Macaca mulatta: one gene and its partner. The protein of the gene in region 1 interacts with the protein of each later gene in a pairwise test. Links are inferred from orthologs where the notes say so. Each region holds a gene or a part of one and is shown on either strand. Other genes may lie near its edges.

Region 1 (9,444 bases):
GTGATTCTCAACAAAGGGGTATTCTGCCTTTTAGGGAACATATGGCCATGTCTGGAGACATTTTGGGCTGCCACAACTTGGGGAAGAACAACTAGTGGGTAGAGGCCAGGGATGCTGCTAAACATTCCACAATGCACAGGACAGTCCGCCATAACAAAGAATTATCCAGTCCAAAGTGTCAGTACCCTTGAGGTTGGGAAACCCTGCTTTAATATAATCTAATAGCTCAAATTTCAGGAATTGTTAGGCCTGTTAATATTTGGGAGTGAGACAGTGTCATCTAGTGGCCAAATGTAATATTTATCCTAGTTCTCTGTTGAACACTAAAGGCAAGAGAAAAAATTCAGAAAGCTAAGACACAGAGATGAAGAACATCCTTTCATGGGAGAACCATCTAGGGTTTACAGAAGTAGGTGTGATGGGGAGGTCTTGTGTACAATCTAGAAGCAGTCCTGGAGTTAGAAAGTGCTCTTTAAGCTGGACACGGTGGCTTACGCCTGTAATCCCAGCACTTTGGGAGGCTGAGGTGGGTGGATCACTTGAGGTCAGGAGTTCGAGACCAGCCTGGCCAACACAGCGAAACCCCATCTCTACAAAAAATACAAAAATTAGCCGGGCGTGGTGTTGCGTGCCTGTAATCCCAGCTACTTGGGAGGCTGAGGCAGGAGAATCGCTGGAACCTGGGAGGCGGAGGTTGCAGTAAGCCAAGATCGTGGCATTGCACTGAAGCCTAGGTGACAGCAAGACTCCATTAAAAAAAAAAAGAAAGAAAGAAAGAAAAAAGTACTCTTTGCTTATAAGAGATCTCATAATAGAAGTCAATATGGAAACAATATTTTACTGGATTCCATATGAAATGCATTCTATTCCATTACGGGTGCCTATATTGCATTACTGTTACTGAATGCATTAAAAAACAGAATCTAATAATCCTGCTGAATAATTGAAATAGTTATTGCTTGGGGATGTAACCTATGGCATTTTGTTTTATTAAGAAATAAAGATTGAAAAGACTTTTAAAGTTATGAAAAAATAGAATGAAGAGCACTAGAAACTTCCACTTTGCTTCAAGAGACAGCATTCTGCATGCCTCAAATATTACCTTCTCTAGTAGGTTGTGAGCTCTCTGAGGGCAGGGACTGTGACTTATTCATATCTTTATATCTGCCTCAGTATCTAGCACAGCATCTCATACAGAGTAGACATACAAATGATTTCTCGAGTGAATGAATTTATTTTTATGCTGGAAATCCTTGCCTTGAAGTGAAGAAAGTTTCAAGCCTTTCTAAGCAGTTACTATCTGTTCACACAAATACAATGCCAGCTGGGGGTGCTTGGCACAGACAGCATCAGAGATTCGAGCACAGGGAATTGGTAACAGACACCTGCAATTCATTTCCCTGGACAGCCTAGAGCAAACTGTGCTATCATGAGCGTTCCCAGGGCAGTGTTTGGACTGGTGTGTGGGTGGTATATTCCTGCAGAATATAAGATTAGGCTATCTTATAATAGACATAATAATAGAAGATTCATTCATCCAGCAAATATTTATTGAATGTCTACTTTGTGCTAGGTACTCTTCTAGGCACTAGGGATATCACAGTGAACTCAAGTCTAAAAATTCCTTAAGAGGCAGGGTTTGAATTGGTGATTAGAATAAAGATGCATATTCCCCTTTCCCCCAACTTTTCCACTTAGCAGAATATTTTCTACATAGAAAACGCAATTTGACTAATGATCTCAAAGCATTTCAAAGCGATTAAAGACCTCTCCTTCCAAAACCACTGCTCTGCTGGGGCAAGTGACAAAAACAACACTCTCCCATCATTTCCTCTCCTTGTTTGTATCTCTTCCTTCCTCCTGCACTTTCAGACTTTTGGGGAGAGGGGTAGGAGCGCGTGAGGTGTATTTTGTGGGTCAATGATGACTCTTGCACATTTTGTAAGTGGCAGTTGAAGCTAGTAGTTTTTAAAGTGACCCCGCAGAGGATTTCTTTCTGATTGGCTTATTAACAATCCTTTAGTTCTAGTGTCTAGGGATATGCAAAGTCAGAAAAAACCAGTCACCACCCAAAAGAAAATGGTGCAGACAAGCTGGTAAGGCCATGTTTTGGCCACAAAATAAGTGCACTGTGCAATATCAACTGTTTCAGTGAGTTTTTGGACTTTCAAGCACATTTTGACACCTTATTATGTGGCTCAGTACACCCAGGATATGCAAATCAAAAGTGTCTGTCTGCATACGTGAGTTGTATGGCATGACCTCCTAATGCTAAGTGGAAGCTGATTTAGTGAATTCACCAAAACTACTGCTATACATGTAATCGATGAAAGGCGATGGTGACCTCCCCACCTTTCTCCTTGGCATTGTTTGGTGAGTTAGTTATATCCTAAGGTCACTACTGCCTAACTCCTCTCAGCCCAGGCATATTGCTCCTAATTGCTCCTAGTACAACCTAAACATCCCTAACACAACAGGGGGCAGGGGAACATGCTAGTTTTTTCCCAAAGCAGTGGATGGCAACTGTGTGACATCTTTGGTTCATCTGTATTATCTTCTCACATCTCTGTTGGAATCTTTAGAAGGCACGGCCCTACCTTTCTCCCCCAGCTGAGACTGCAAGAATCCCTAGCTGACTTGTTCAAAGCACTCCTTGACACAGGTCCAGCAGCGTGGGAACTTACTCAACTTCGGTTGTTTGGAAACCACCAAGTCTGGCTTGTTCTCATTCCCCCTCCACAGTCCGCTCTGTTACACAGCAGGCACCCAGACATTCTTAAAGTTCATCACTCTCCACCACACTCCGAGAAGAGCATGAATACACAATCGTGCTTTCCATGGAGGAAAAGGCAGAAAATATGTCAAGTCCTTTACTGGTGAGAGATCCGTAGCGACTGCCGCTGGGCCGGACAGACATGGGCGGTGGGATCTGATGGTGCCACTGAGCTGGAAAATGGACCAAACAATGTGTTATGATCAAAGGAATGCAGTCCACCAGGCACACCGCAGAGGCGCATTCGGTCCTCACCCTGATGCTCCCTGCAGATTCTTGGTAAAGCATGTAACTATATCTGGGTCTGAATTGCCTCATCTGTAGAAGAGAACAATAAAGCCTTCCCTGCCAGGAATAAGGAAACTGTGCTGGCAATGTCTTAAGCCCCTAATTCCAAAATCTGTGATTCTAATTCAGTAAGATACTAGAATCCTACAAGTGAGAGATTAGAATTCCTCTAAGATGGGGCCGGGCACAGTGGCTCATGCCTGTAATCCCAGCACTTTGGGAGGCTGAGGCGGGCACATCACTTGAGCTCAGGAGTTCAAGACCAGGCTGGCCAACATGGTGAAACCCAGTTTCTACTAAATACAAAAATGAGCTGGACATGGTGGTGTACACCTCTAATCCCAGCTACTCAGGAAGCTGAGGCATGAGAATCACTTGAACCCAGGAGGTGGCGGTTGCAGTGAGCCAAGATCACGCCAAGGCATGCCACTTCACCTAAGTGACACAGCGAGACTCCATCTCAAAAAAAAAAAAAGAATTCTATAAGATGGAAGAGTGAGTGACTAGGGCGATTTCTCAAGCTTATCCCCTTCCACCAGCCTACCATGAAGGCCTGTTAGGGGCAGTGTACAGAGGGTTGTAGGCTCTCAAAGAGGGTACCTCAAAAGATAGAGATAAGAAAGCTGCAGAAATGAAAGCCAAACAATGGGTTTGACCTGAGCAGTGCCTACCTCACACCCTAATCACCCTCATCAGCCATTACTTATCTACCCATCTCCCCAATCAGGTTCTATTGTTACAGCAAGAAGACTGAAAAGTAATTTAGGTACAATCAACCATGGTTCAGGGACAAAAGACAATTTATTAGAGTTTCTATGTTCACCAAGTGCTGCTGTTTTTAGCAGACACGACTTTAAGGTTTGAACATGGCCTGAGTGAGATACCCATCCAAACTTCATAGTCTCTGCCGTGGTTCCTGATTCAGAAATTACCAGGCAATCTTCTGACTAGGTTTCTGGGTACTTTGATGTGGAGAAGCGTGTTCCCTAGGTGGGGAACTCTCATGCTGTGGGTCCTGGAAAGCTGTGCCCCTTTCTAGCATTCCGATTTAGAAATTGGTCCTTTGTTGATTTCATCATCTTGATTCAGTTTTTCAGTCTACATACCTCTGAGTGAATTCGGAAAAATAAAAATCTGGGGGACCAAACTTAGAGCAGTTTCACTAAAGAGCAGACACTCAGTAAGGCCTGCTCTTGCACAGTCTCTCCTCCCAGCCCCTCCATCTCTTAGCCCTTCCCTGCTCTCTCTGACATCGTAACTGGACTACTGCAGTTCCTAGGATTAGGAAGTGAGACAGGAGAGAGGGGAGCCCTACGTGTCCCCATTCCTCAGAAAGGCAGGAAGTGTGGTGGTGGGGAAGGGAACTGATTCCAGCCCGAGTCCTCCACGCCTTCTCCATCCTAGGTCCCAGCTGAGGAAACAGCACTGCCTATCGTTGGTGCTATGGAAGCAGGACAGGAACGAAAGGGAGAGGAGAGCCAGGACAAAGTGACCTGGAAACTCACCCACTGGAGGGCAGGATTGGCGCAAGAGTCATCTGTTTCAGGGCTTATTGGTAGGGAGTTTCTCAGTTGGAGACCTACTGCCTTCTGACTTGGTGAAGACTGGGAAATGGCTAAGGACTTAGCCTTGATTAAGGAACCTATCACTATTGGCCTCTTTCTCCCCCAATTTTTCCAGGGAAAAGCACATTAGTGTCGTTTAATTTCTTCTCAAGTCCTAGGATAAGGGAAAATAACCAGAAAATTACATATTTTCTCCAAAAACTAGACCTAGGGAAAATGGCAGGCTGAAGCCCCTCCCGCATGGTACTAAACAAACGGAATACCTGCTGTGTACCCATAAATAACAGAGACGTCTGTCAGGCAACAGACAGAGCTACTCTTATTTATTATGTTGGTTAATCAGGTTAAGCCAGTTTTGAATGTGAGACTTTCTAATCAATTATGTTCTTTAAAAAAAGGATTAAAAAAAAAAAGAAACACTCTTTTGGGTTAAGAAATATGTCTCCAAAAATACCAGTTAATGTCAAAAAGTGTAGGATTGACTACACAAATACATAAATAAAAATTAATTTCTTGGATCCTTTTGAAAATTGGAAATGTGGTTCAAAGAAACAATGCAAAGGCCTAGATTTGCTTCCTAGCTGTAGTCACTAACCTCTCTGAGCCTTCCACTAAATATATAACACAGCCAATTCAGGTGTGGGGGAGCTTCCCAGAAGACGTGCTCCAGCTCAGTCTAAAAGGTTGAGTGGAAACTCACAGGGAGGGTGGGGCGGGCTGTTCCAGGTGGTGGGACAGCTTGTACAATGTTGTTACTCTCATGTGATCTTCAGCCTTAGATGAAGGTAACTACAATTATAATAATCTCATGGGTCTGGGAGATTTAAGGGTATCACTTTGGATCCCGCCTTTGGAAGAGAGAGGGGATCCTATGTGTCATTCTACAAATGTCACTTGATATTATCATTATTAGGACAGCTCTCTATTATTAGAGACGTCTGATTGGGGGATTGGAGCAATACACATTTGTTAAATGAATAAATGAAAGGAGTGTCAAAAATTCTGCCGGGGGATCACAGGTAGTGGGAAGTTCCAGTGGGTAGCCCGCAGCAGCAAGGAGATGGCAAGAAAACACTGGATGTTCAGAAGCACAAGCACTTGGAAACTCTGGACTAGCTGTAATTCCTGATATTAGAGGCCCTCTTTTGGAAGAAGGTTAAGCTCATAGTAAAATGTAAAAGTAATGCCCTGAGGTAACCAGGATGAGATGACTTTTAAAATCTATCTCTTAAGCACTAAAATATAGTATAGCCTACCCAATTCATTTATGGAAGCATACTCCATCTATCTTTATTTTATTTATTTATTTAGAAGCAGAGTCTTGCTCTGTTACCCAGGCTGGAGTGCAGTGGTACAATCTCGGGTCACTGCAACCTCTGCCTCCTGGGTTCAAGCGATTCTCCTGCCTCAGCTACCTGAGTAGCTGGGATTACAGGCATGTGCCACCATGCCTGGCTAATTTTTGTATTTTTAGTGGAGGTGGGGTTTCACCATGTTGACCAGGCTGGTCTTGAACTCCTGACCTCGGGTGATCTGCCTGCCTTGGCCTCCCGAAGTGCTGAGATTACAGGCGTGAGCCACCTTGCCCGGCCCACTTATCTTTAAAGAAAGATTTGTAAGCTATCAGTTGCATACAGATGTTCAACTGACAGCATTACACTTACCGTATATATCCAGCCTGGCAGTGCACGACACGATGCCGGCTTCGTTCTTGGCTGACAACGTGTACCATCCAGCATCTGATTTCTTGGCTGGCTGAATGAGAAGGCAGGCATACCCTGTCGTGTCCTGGTGCATACTGGAGAAAAAGAGAATATACCTATATTTTATTTGGGAGCGGAAGTGCCTTTGTCAAATTTAGGGTTCCAGGAAGAAGGGGGAACTCAGCTTAAGGCAAACATCAAGACAAATTTGAAGGTGGAAGACGTCACAGAAGAGCAGCAGTGAGCTTAATCATACTAGGAGGAGGGGGCAGCTGGGGCTGAGACCTGCTCTTGCCCTCCCCACTGCTGCAAGTCCACTGAAGTTGCACTCCCCACCAGCAGAACCCCCACTTTTCACAACCAAAGTACAGAAAGATCTCTTTTCCAAACAAGGTTGGACATTGCATCAATTACTTTGTTAGGACGCTCTGGGAAAGCAGGACAAAACAGAGCCAGGGGGTGGATGGACTGGCAGCGTAGACAGCATTTCCTAATGTAACCAGCCGGGCTCACGCAGCATCCAGCTTCATGAGGTTTAGGAGGAAACCAGCCTGCTGTTTCCTTCTGTTTTTCTCCACATCAATAGTTTTTCACCTTGACTGCATGTTGGAATCCCAGGCCACATGCTAGGTAACCCTATCAGAATCAAAGGCTGGGATCCAAGCATTAGGATTTTTGGAAACACCCCAGAGATTCCAATAGGCAGCCATGGATCAAAAAACATCGGGCCACATGTTCCCTACACCCCTTGTTGGCCTGGCCCTCTTATCACTCATAGTTCCAAGCTCTCCTATGGGGCTGCCACAGCTCATTTGCACAGTAGGGGAAATAGCAACAGCTTCCTGAGCTCAAAGGATGAATAAGTGTTTGCCTTTCATTGAAAGTTATTATGTCTAAGAATTTATAAAGTAATAAGAATAAACAAGAATAAATCAATTAATAACAAGTACAACAAGAATAAAGTAATGAAATATCCACCACGATTTCACTAGATTAACACATTGGCTACCTTCACCTTCTGATTAGTTAATTAATTAATCCATTCATTCTTCGATATATTTCTTTAGTAAACACTGGATACTATGTTGGGGAAAATGCTGGGTGCTGTTGCCTTCGGTGGTGAGGGTGTAAAGATGAACAGGACAAAAATTTCTTCTCTTTTTTTTGAGACAGAGTCTTGCTCTGTTGCCCAGGCTGGAATGCAGTGGTATAATCTTGGCTCACTGCACCCTCCACCTCCCGGGTTCAAGAGACTCTTATGCCTCAACTTTCCAAGTAGCTGGGATTACAGATGCCCACCACCATGCCTGCCTAATTTTTTGTTGTTTTTAGTAGAAATGGAGTTTCACCCTGTTAGCCAGGCTGGTCTCGAACTCCTGACCTCAGGTGGTCCACCCGCCTTGGCCTCCCAAAGTGCTGGGATTATGGGTGTGAGCCACCACACCTAGCCAAAGAAATTCCTTCTCTAGAAGGATCCCTAAGTTTAATGGAAAATAAATAAATAAAAGATAAATAAGTAGAAATAAAGATAAATAGAATGCAAATGCTAGAGTAATGCTGTGGGAAAGATGCCTGGGGAAGACAGAGGGGAAAAGGTTATTCTGGGAAGCCGCAGTCATCAAGGAGGAAGCATGAAGATACTGGATGTTCAGAAGCACAAGCATATGTGAGGTTAGGCTCACAGAAAAATGTAACACTGTATAAAGACCTGAGATGACTAAAATGAGATTACTTTAACAATCTATTTCTCAAGCACTGAAATATAATGCAGCCAATTCAAGGGTGGGAAAACTTCCCAGAAGATGTGCTCCGGCTCAGTCTCAAAGGTCCAGTGGAAACTCACAGGGAGGGTGGGATGTGGCTGTTCCAGGTGGTGGAACAGCCTGCACAAAGGCAGGGGAGGGAGGGAGCCATGTTCCTTACAGCTGGGGTTGGAGGGCACACCGGGTACTGGCAAGTGGGGGGACTGGGAAGAAGGCAGGGGAGAGGGTCACGTGCACCATGGTAAAGGGATGGGACCCTTCCTCGCAGATTATGGGAAACTAATGATGTATTTTAAGCAGGAGCTGATATGATCCGTTTGTATTTTTTATTTATTTATTTTTTCTGAGATGGAGTCTCACTCTGTAGCCCAGGCTGGAGTGTAGTGGTGTGATCTCAGCTCAGTGCAACCTCTGCCTCCCAGGTTCAAGTAATTCTCCTGCCTCAGCCTCCCAAGTAGCTGGGATTACAGGCACGTGTCACCATGCCTTGCTAATTTTTGTATTTTTAGCAGAGACAGGGTTTTGCCATGTTAGCCAGGCTGCTCTCCAACTCCTGACCTCAGGTGATCTACCTGCCTTGGCCTCCCAAAGTGCTGGGATTACAGGCGTAAGCCACTGCACCCTGTCAGTTTGCATTCTTAAAAGATCATCTTCACAGTGGTGAGGAGGTGTATTGAATAGGGCTTGAGCCTGGCCGCAGAGAGACACATTAGGATGCTATTGCTGTAGTTTGATGAGGTGAGGCAATAGCAGCGGAAATTCATGCATTTGTTCATAATTCCTTCATCTTACATAATATGCTACTAGGTGAAAGGCATTGGGTGTTGTGATGAGTCAGAACATATGAAAACAAAGGAGACGCGGTCTCTTCCCTCAAGATGCTCACAGTCTAGTTGTGGGAGAGAGAATGAAAGCATCAATACTAACAATTGTGACTATGTGCAAGAGTTGCTGGTAGAAGAACATCAACTCAGTCCTGGACCAAGTAGGGGAGGAAGCAGGGGCGCTGCTCTTCCTTAGACAGATGATGTTTGAGGTGAGCGTTAAGGGATAACAGACATTAGAGAGGTGGGCTGCAGCGTGTGGGTAGGGGAGAAGGCGAAGAGAGTTCCCAAAGAAGGAACGTCCTGAGCAGAGGCATATAGGTGAGAGAAGTCAGGGACATGAAAACTGTAAATACTTACAGCACAGTTATAATCATGGTGATATACAGGCAGTTCCTGACTTAGGATGCTTGCATCCCTTATGCTCCTCAATTTATGATGGGGTTACATCCAGATAAGTCCATCGTAAGTTGAAGAGCAACTCTCTCTCTCTCTCTCTCTCTCTCTCTCTCTTTCTCTCTCTCTATG
Region 2 (9,850 bases), about 21 Mb from region 1:
TCCCCTCCCTCTTCAGCTTCCCAGACACTGAGTCTGGAATGAAAATTCACCTGCCTCTGAGTTGGCTCCTAGTAGGGGCGGGGGTGTTACTAGGGTTCCCAGGTTGGAAGATTATCTCACCCGGCCCCAGCTATATAAGCTGACCGGTGTGGAGGGGCCCAGCAGGGCCAACTCCAGGGATTCCTTCCACGACAGAAAAACATACAAGACTCCTTCAGCCAACATGATGGTACTGAAAGTAGAGGAACTGGTATGTAAGATACATTAATTTAATAAATTGACAACTGGTTCATCTTGGTTTTTGTTTGAAAATGGAAATGCCCTTTGCTTTCAGGCATAATGCAAGGGAACTCTGAAAATGTCATATGTGGAAAAAGGTTGACGTGATGAAACAAGTAAAATTGGAAAAAAAAAATGGAGCTACCAGCAATGAATTCTCTGCATATTTCCTATTTAATATCTTCTCCTTTGGTTTTATTACTACGGTGTGGAATCACATGTAGTTATCAAAATGTCTTAGGCAAGAAGTTTTCTTGCAAGAATGTAAGTCTGGAAACTTTACAACAAGGTGAAGCGTCAACAAAAGTACTTAAAGTTGAGTTTTAATTAAGTAGAGAAGGTTTGTGACTTTCCTAAAAGAAATGTGATTAAGCAGATTAAAAGTAGATGTAAATATGTCAACCTAACCCAAGCTTTGATTTAACCAAGAGAGTAGGACAAGCACCTGAAGTTAATTCTGAGACATTTGTAGCAGCGTGCGTGTGTCGCAGCTTGAGATCTGCGAGTGCACTGCTCAAAGGTGGCTGTTCCCAGGGAAGAAGGACCCAGAGCCTCCTGCAGCATTGTCTGTGAAGAAGGACCCAGGACAAGGCTGCTGCTTCTGACGCTGCCATCTTCTTCCCTCATAGGTCACTGGGAAGAAGAATGGCAACGGGGAGGCAGGGGAATTCCTTCCTGAGGATTTCAGAGATGGAGAGTATGAGGCTGCTGTTACTTTAGAGAAGCAGGAGGATCTGAAGACACTTCCAGCCCACCCTGTGACCCTGGGGGAGCAACAGTGGAAAAGCGAGAAACAACGAGAGGCAGAGGTGAGAGCCATCTGTGGAATCCACTAGTAGGATGTTGGGGCTGGAGCAGGGATTGGAAATGCCAGGGAAGGAGAAGAGAGAAGCAAACCCAATCATTAAGATGTTTCTTTACCAGATTCTAACCCATAAAGAGGCAACTTGTATGGAACAGGTTTTGGGAATAATTCTTTGACAAGACTATGACCTCTGAATTCTGAATCAATGAATAAATGTGCTGTGACCATGTTTTGATTGAAAGATACACATGTCCAGTGAATTCCTGATGTTACACACCATGTAGTTAATCCCAAGCAAGGGAGATCTCTTTTTCTCAATAACATGGTCTGTGGTCCTTGGATCATTGTTTAACTGTCTGCTGTCTGTGTTGACACAATCTGTGTTTCTGGGTGAATTTTCCTTAATTACTAACACAGATAAAAGTTGCTTTAGTTAGCTGTGGTACCTGGACAGTCTGTTTTAGAAGGCTCTGCCTAGTGAAAGAGAATGACATTGATATTTCAGAGCTTAACATTTATTGTTAGATTCTTTTTTATCATGCTCAAAAATTAAACCAAGTTTTGAGCATAATTTTAAAAATCCTTCAAAAATCTAGAGCTTGTTTACGGCATTAATTACAAAGTCATCACTTAGAGACCAGATTGTGTCCTCAGTTAGGCAAGGGCTGATTCTACAAGCAACAGAAGTAAAGATGATGGCAATTAGCTGAAAATTAGACTCCCAGATAAATATCTGAATAAGAAATCCCTAAAATGAAGTCAAAGATTTATATAATTTTTAAAAAATGTTTTTGCTCAAACTGTTCACATGTTTATCTCAGACCTTGCAGATTTAGTTTAGACACAACCAGAATGCTTGTCAGTAGAACTCACCATATTTTTGAAATACGAATTTCTTTTTAGCTCAAAAAGAAAAAACTAGAACAAAGATCAAAGCTTGAAAATTTAGAAGACCTTGAAATAATCATTCAACTGAAGAAAAGGAAAAAATACAGGAAAACTAAAGTTCCCATTGTAAAGGAACCAGAACCTGAAATCATTGTAAGGACTTTTTTTGGTTTTCAGTAATACGTGTCCAGTATTGTGCTACAGGGGAGCAAATATCTGTGGAGGGTTTGATTGAATGTTGGCAAGCTCACGGTAACTCTCATGCTATGTATATATATCTATATTTTTTGGCTTTAGACGGAACCTGTGGATGTGCCTACGTTTCTGAAGGCTGCTCTGGAGAATAAACTGCCAGTAGTAGAAAAATTCTTGTCAGACAAGAACAACCCAGATGTTTGTGATGAGGTAAGACTCATGCAAAGCACTGCAAAATCCAGCACATTAATTTTATGTTTCTTATGCTTTACTGCAGTCTTGCTAATATAATGCCAAAGTCCTTCCACCTGAAACAGTTTCCCCAGCTGTTGCTGTGTGTGCCAGGAGCCTAATAGGAGAGTTCAGTGGTCCAAAAAATAAATATATATTGGATCAGTGCTACGGATTGTATTGTCTTTTGCACTCATATACATCTGGCTGATTTTTCAGTTTTTTTTTTAACTTCTTAGATCCTTGTGATAAGATTTTAATGTGGGCCAAAGAGTCACCTTTAGAGAGAGATAATTAGCATCATCTTGGATTAAAACCAAACATGTCAACACTAGATAGGAAATCTGGAGACTGGAGTTCAGGGGCCAGTTGTACCACTACTTGGCTATTTGGTTTTGAGCAGCTAATTTGCATCCTCTGGGCTGTGGTTTCCTTATCTGTAAACATGGGGCATTGGAGTGAAATAATGCCTAAAGTTGTTCCAGCTCTAATAGTCCATTCGCCCATTCAGATAAAGCCAATTTATCAGAAATCACTAATCCTTTTGTATTCTTTCCCCCATGAAGTGAAATTGGGGATCGCTTCTAAAGTTGAACTAAAAACGTGTCTCCCATTCTCCTAAAAATGAATGGAAACTTTTTGATAGTCAGTCTAGCAACAGTCCTAGATACAAGAAAACTGTCTGATCTGCATGGTAATGTTACATGAACAAGGAAGGTGCAAGATACAAGAAAGGGAGACGTCAGCATTTAGACAGTTTTGAGCCTTTAAGTTCACATTCCTCAACGTAGGCCTTTGAGCCCTTAGAAATGTATGTTGAAGGAAGCTCAAATATTAGTTGCAGGATAATTGTTCTGATTCTGCAACTTTAGTTAACTTTGACATTTCTATTCATAAAGAAGCACTTGAGTTTCTATCAGTTAGGTCATCAGAATCTCCAGCTTCATAGCTCTTAAAAGGGTTTATGCACATTTTTATATTTATTGCTATCTCTTTTTAAAATCTCTGTTCTGACAGTATAAACGGACAGCTCTTCATAGAGCATGCTTGGAAGGACATTTGGCAATTGTGGAGAAGTTAATGGAAGCTGGAGCCCAGATCGAATTCCGTGATATGGTAAATATATTTCTTTGCTTGGGAATGAGCCAAAAGAAGTAGACTATATGAAGCTCCGGAAAACCTCCAATGCAAAACCGGACTGATTGGACTGAAAATTGATCTGAGAGAACTAGGCAAAAGCTCATTTCTCCAAATAAAGAAAAGTTGGGAGATGAGAGTAGGTCATGTGAAAATATTTTCCATACATACTGAAAATAGAGGAATATTTTAGGGAAAAGAAGGAAGTGAAAGCTGTTCAACTGAATTCAATATCCTCATCAGTGAGTTAGTCATTCATTTTCGACACTTGCCTTTCAACAGCCTTGTCCCTCCATTGTTCACAGGGCAGCCTGCTCATGGTCCCTTGGCTGCCAGCAACATATATGAATTCTCTAGCTGTACACTTTATATTATAGATGCCAATTGTTACCAATGAGATTTAGGGCTAGACTGAATATGAAATGAGTTGCATCTATGGAAAGTAGCTGCTATTCAGACCTCAATAATTCAATCACTGTGATTTTTACAAAGACCAGTATGCAGCATAATTTATGAACTGCAGATTGAGCTGGGAAAATTCTTTATGTACTTAAATGCAGCTCATTTTGACTTTATAGCAAAGCAGAAACGGGATATCAAAGAAATCCAAAGGACTTGGCCAAAATTGAATCCAAAACATAAACACATTGAAAAAAAAAAATAAAGAAACAAAATATGAAGTTTGCATGGAAACTAAAAATCTTGAGTGTGAGATTAAGGCCAGGGGCATATCAACCACATAGATCAGTGAGGAGAGGGTCTCCCAGGTGTAACTATACACGTTACAACTGTAGACACAAGTGACTATAGTTGAGGTACAGAGGCTGTGCTAGCAAAAATGAGAGCAGAAAACCCACAGAGATAGAGAAAGAGCGACAGGGACCCTAGATGAGGTGACAGATCCAGATTAAAATATTTTGGAAGGGACAACTTTTATTCTGCTAGAATTTTTAAATACATGTGTTTAGAACTTTTGAGTACATTTGACAAAAGTAGTTAGAAGTTCCAGGCAGATGGGGGTTGGACTATGTATTCTGCCTCTTATTAATTGTGTTTCCTTGGGCTAGAAACTTGAACTTTTTGGAACCTGGTTTTTCTTATCTGCAAAATGTGCATAGTAACATCTACCTCAAAATGTTGCTGGAAGAATCAAGGTGTCTAGAGTGTAGCACCATGTTGGCATGAGAACTGTCTCAATAAATGGTCGCTCTTATTCTTTTAAAACATTATTAGATTTATTAAGAGCCTCCTAATAAGACACACGTATGCACACACACACACGTAATTTAGCTAACACATTTGGTAAGAACCTTTGACTCCAGTTAGAATTGGCGATCTAGATGGGGACAACTCAGTATTATCACGGATGCCCCTAGCAACCAGATTCTAATTCCCCAGACCACATTCTCCTTCACATTGTTGGGTCTTTTTCCGTCCCGGTGTAGCTTGAATCCACAGCCATCCACTGGGCAAGCCGTGGAGGAAACCTGGATGTTTTAAAATTGTTGCTGAACAAAGGAGCAAAAATTAGCGCCCGAGATAAGGTATTTCTTCTTCTTCTCCCTTCATTCATCCCTTCCCCCTCCCTGCCTCCCCTTCTCCACTTCTCACATTCTTCCCCCCGCCTCCCTCTCCCCTACTCGCCCGTCCTCCTCCCCTACTCCTTCATCTCCTAACCTTGCCTCTCCATTAAAGTCATCTGGAGGCCCATGCTGTGCGCAGGCACCCTAGTGACCACTTCTCCCCCTCGCACATGTCTTGGGGTCTGGGACAGCCTCTGTCCTCATTCCTAGCGAATCAGCAGCGTTTTCCAATTTTCCAGTTGCTCAGCACAGCGCTGCATGTGGCGGTGAGGACTGGCCACTATGAGTGCGCGGAGCATCTTATCGCCTGTGAGGCAGACCTCAACGCCAAAGACAGAGTGAGTAGCTGGACACGCTCGGGTTTCCCAAAGCTTCACTGCTTTTGTATTGGGAATCACTCTCCCAAGCCTGGGTGCCCTTGCAGGACCCACTTCCTGGCCTCAGACCCAGCTTGAACCTGTTGACTCTGCTTCTCTAGGAAGGAGATACCCCGTTGCATGATGCGGTGAGACTGAACCGCTATAAGATGATCAGACTCCTGATTATGTATGGCGCGGATCTCAACATCAAGAACTGTGTAAGTACTGGAAACAAGAAACACCGCTTGCAAGCTTTCCAATTTCCAGGAGCATTTCTTAAATAGGTGAAACGACTCCCACAGTGGCAGCATTTGAGGGGTCTTCGATGGTCTAAATGCCCCTGCCCATTTCCCCAAGGATGGTGTTTATCTTGGTTAGGACTCAGGTCACACGGCCAGAGATGGGGGAAGCCATAGATACTTCTATGACCTCAGTGACCTCAGTGCCTGATACAGTGCATAATAATTCTTTTACAATTTGGTCTTGGAAATGAAAGATAGTCAAAATTTGCTCATCCCCACAAACACCTAGAAGTCCAATCTGCCTTGGCCATTTCTGTCTGTGCAAGGGCTGAGGAAGTTAGAAATAAAGGCATCCACCATTTCCAAAATGTCCTAAAATTCCACAAGGGTCAGTGCAGGCAGTGAACTAAGGTTAATCAATATCCAATCTGAGTAATTCAGAAAGTCCCTTTCCTCCTTACAGCAATGTGAAATGTCATCATTTTCTTCCAGGGGTAGCTGTGCTTTTGCCTGTATTTTTTTTCAGATAATTTCTATCCATTCTCCACTTGGATTTGTCTTCACATCTCTCAAAATAATTTCCTATATTTAGGCCCTGAAAATTCTTGTATAAGTACATATTAATTTAACTTCATCTGTAAGCAGGGAACATAACCAACGTTTCCTCATGGTCTCAATTTCCAGACAAACACCATCTAATATAAGCTTAAAAAATATTGCCCAGAGGAACAGGTATAAATTTCTGAAGAAATAAATTTAAAGAAGCTTTTGAAGAATCACTTTACAAAAAAGAGGAGGGGGTGGGGAGGGAAACTCAGTCATCATATAAATGCAAATAATTTTCTCCCCTTATTTGTGTTGCAAAGACTGAGAAGAATATTTTACCGTTTAAAAAAAATCTGGCTTGGTGACAGGAACAAAGAATGGTGATAAATGAAGATTGCTTGGAGTGGGAAAGTGTTAACAGTAGGGCTCCCTCAGTCTAGATATTGGAATTGATCTTATCTAGTAATTTTTTAAAACTCTCAGAAAAAGAGCAGGTTCAATGAAATCTTGAAAGCTGCAGAAAATGTGAAGAGTTTTTTTCAGGCAGTCAGACACTCCCAGCAGAGACAAATGGCAGCATACAGCTTTAGGGAGACTGTGTAAGTAGCCAGAAAAATCACGATATAAATTTCAATGGAGAGAAGTGCAAGGAATTTTTGGAAGAGTAGCCCAGAATATACAAATAGGGCTCTGAATTATCAGTTAGATCTTAGCATCAGGTTTATGGAACTATTAATGTCATTGACCCAATGGATTGATGTTTTCCCCAAAGATCAATAACCTATTGATACCATGTAAAGGAGATCGGGAGCAGCATACAATATTTTCTCATTATCCAAAACTCTATATTCATGTCTACTGATGACTGTTCCTAGAGAAAGACACTACAAAGGTGGGGAAGTTCCAAAATGAAAGTTATAGGGCCACTAATTTAAATACCTACAGATCGCGTAATCTGACTGCAGGCTGACCTCACTGTGCCGGGCAAATGGCATAAGTGACTTCAATGTGTGGTTGTCAGGGTCTGTGCACATAACTCTTTTAAAGGTGGCCCTTCCCCAACCCAGTCTATGTTGCTCTGTAGAACCATGGGTACCATGTTGTTAACTCTTCTGATTTTTTCATAGAAGTCACAAATCCAGTTGGGAAATCTCTTGGTTTCCAATTGTTGCCAATTCATACTAATCTTAACAAAAATCTAAGTTCTCTTTGGGTCAAAACAAAACAAGTCTCTATTCTGGTTTGCATCTCAAAGCTGCCAATTTGCAGTCACTGGGTTAAAAAGAAACTTCTCAATGAATAGAGATGGAAAAAATTAGGACTTCTCAGATCTATAGATAAGAATTGAGAGATGATATGGTTTTAATATTTTTAAATCTTGAGACATGTGCATAAGGGAAATCAAAATTTCGTCTCAAAAATGATTTGTTCACACATGTCATTGCCATCAACTCCAAGAAAAACAAATTTCCTGGGAGAGTTCATTGAAAATTCTGACAAGTTCTGAAAAATCTGTTCCCAGGAACAGTAATAGTACCCAAGCAGTACCTGAGTACTTAAGCCAAGTTATTGATGCAGCTCATTTACTACCATTTCTTATCAATCAAAGAACTATCGTTCAAATGGATAGGCATTGATTCTTGGTCCAAGAGGGATGCTGCCACCTCCGGGAACCCATTCCACAGGATACTGGAAGATGTATGGAGGCATTTTATGAATTTCAAAATGACTTGAGGTGCTCTTGACACTTAGTATCTAGGGACAATGGATTTTACCAATACCTGGAATGGTCCCACGTGAAAAAGATTTCTACTCTTAAAATGGGAAAAGCATCCCTCTGAGAAACAGTGAAGGGTTGGTTTGAGTACAAACTGCAGATCACTAGTGGAAACTGTAAAACACTGTTATATACCTAATCCTTACCTCATGAAACACACACAGAGAATGTGAATTTACAGATGTCACCCACCTGAAAGTCAAGTTTCCTTGTCTCATTTGATTAGGCTGGGAAGACGCCAATGGATCTGGTGCTACACTGGCAGAATGGAACCAAAGCAATATTCGATAGCCTCAAAGAGAACTCCTACAAGACCTCTCGCATAGCTACATTCTGAGGGAAACGACAGACTCTTTGATCAGTAAATGTTTACTGGTATTTTGAAGGCATGGCCCAAGAGAAGAGACACTAGCCATAAAATCTAGTTTCTATTTATCAACGTGTTGTGAAGATGTACCTAATGAAGTTTTGAGAAAGCACAGGGTTATATGTGTTTAAATTTCCTTTAGTGAAACTCTGTTTATTTTTATGTATTTCTGTTTATTTATTTACTACCACGCTACTGATATTCAGACCTTCATGATAATCCATTTGGTGACCAGAGCTTCATTTGTATATAACACTTTCAGAGCCCTCCCATAGGTAGTTCTTAAACCAGGTGAAAGAGCAAAGTTCAAGTGCCTACTTACGTGTCATTCGCTTATGTAAGAGTTTTTAAGAGAGGGCTGATTATTGCAGCCCTCTTTTCTCCTGAATTTTTAATGCAGAAGTTTGAATGAAGCAAGGGAAGGCATGTAGGGACAGGAAAGGAAACAATGGAAGGAAAGTGATTCTGTGAAAAGGACAGTGAAGCCAGCTATTTTACCCCCAGGCAGGACTTTTTTTTTTTTTTTTTTTTTTTTAACCAAGTACACAGAGTACCCAGGTGAAGAGAACGTCATGAGTGTAAGTGCAAGGCAGTGGAAGGAGCGGCAAACTGGGACATGCAAAATTGAATTTGCTCAAAAAAGATGAAAGGAAATGCAAACTGTAAATGTGTAAATGTATATTGTATTGTATGTACATTTTATATTCATAATAAAAGCAAGCAAACTCTAAACCTCTAAACCTGTCTATAAGTGTGGTGGAAATGTCCTATGTGAAAAACAAGCTCTATAGGAGGGGTTTTCTCCCATTGTTTTCCAAGTTTTGTGGATTAGAAATGTCCCATACAACAGCACTCCCAGTATTTAATATGCATACAGATCACCTGGGGATCTGGTTAAAATGCAGATTTCTGATTCAGTTGGTCTCAGGTGGGGCCTGAGATTCTGCTTTTCTGATAAGCTCCCAGGTGACAGGCCACGAAATGGCACCACCACACTCAGCAACTAGGCTGAGAGCTGTAAAGACACAAAGGAATTCTAGCGAGCCTTCAGTCCCAGTCATGTGTAGAAAGAGACCCCTGGTGGTCAGAATGATTTCTGCATGGTAAACCCGCATTCCTTAAGAAGTTCCCATCAGGGCTTAACGAGTGATTTTTTTTTTTAATTTAAATTTTAAGTTCTGGGGTACATGTGCAGTATGTGCAGGGGTGTTACATAGGTAAACGTGTGCCAAGGTGGTTTGCTGCACCTGTCAACCCATCACTTAGGTATTAAGCCCAGCATGCATTAGCTATTTTCCCTAATGCTCTCCCTCCTCCCACCCCACCCCTCTACAGGTCCCAGTGTGTTTTGTTCCCCTCCCTGTGTCCATGTGTTCTCATTGTTCAGCTCCCACTTATAAGTGAGAACATGTGGTGTTTGGTTTTCTGCTCCTGTGTTAAT

The links.
Region 2: the proteins of MYPN (region 1) and ANKRD1 interact in a two-hybrid assay, tested with the Homo sapiens proteins (2 studies listed by BioGRID). The link is inferred for Macaca mulatta from reciprocal best matches to the Homo sapiens genes MYPN and ANKRD1.

The regions. Positions count from the first base shown.
Region 1 is NC_133414.1:81,552,473-81,561,916, forward strand, and holds the end of MYPN (myopalladin), read right to left. Parts: intron 6,425-9,444; coding exon 6,291-6,424; intron 2,947-6,290; coding exon 2,777-2,946; 3' UTR 1,215-2,776; downstream 1-1,214. UniProt on the Homo sapiens protein: Component of the sarcomere that tethers together nebulin (skeletal muscle) and nebulette (cardiac muscle) to alpha-actinin, at the Z lines.
Region 2 is NC_133414.1:102,938,182-102,948,031, reverse strand, and holds the end of ANKRD1 (ankyrin repeat domain-containing protein 1), read left to right. Parts: 5' UTR 1-223; coding exon 224-250; intron 251-908; coding exon 909-1,088; intron 1,089-1,987; coding exon 1,988-2,125; intron 2,126-2,269; coding exon 2,270-2,377; intron 2,378-3,415; coding exon 3,416-3,514; intron 3,515-4,980; coding exon 4,981-5,079; intron 5,080-5,357; coding exon 5,358-5,456; intron 5,457-5,596; coding exon 5,597-5,695; intron 5,696-8,268; coding exon 8,269-8,379; 3' UTR 8,380-9,149; downstream 9,150-9,850. UniProt on the Homo sapiens protein: May play an important role in endothelial cell activation. May act as a nuclear transcription factor that negatively regulates the expression of cardiac genes. Induction seems to be correlated with apoptotic cell death in hepatoma cells.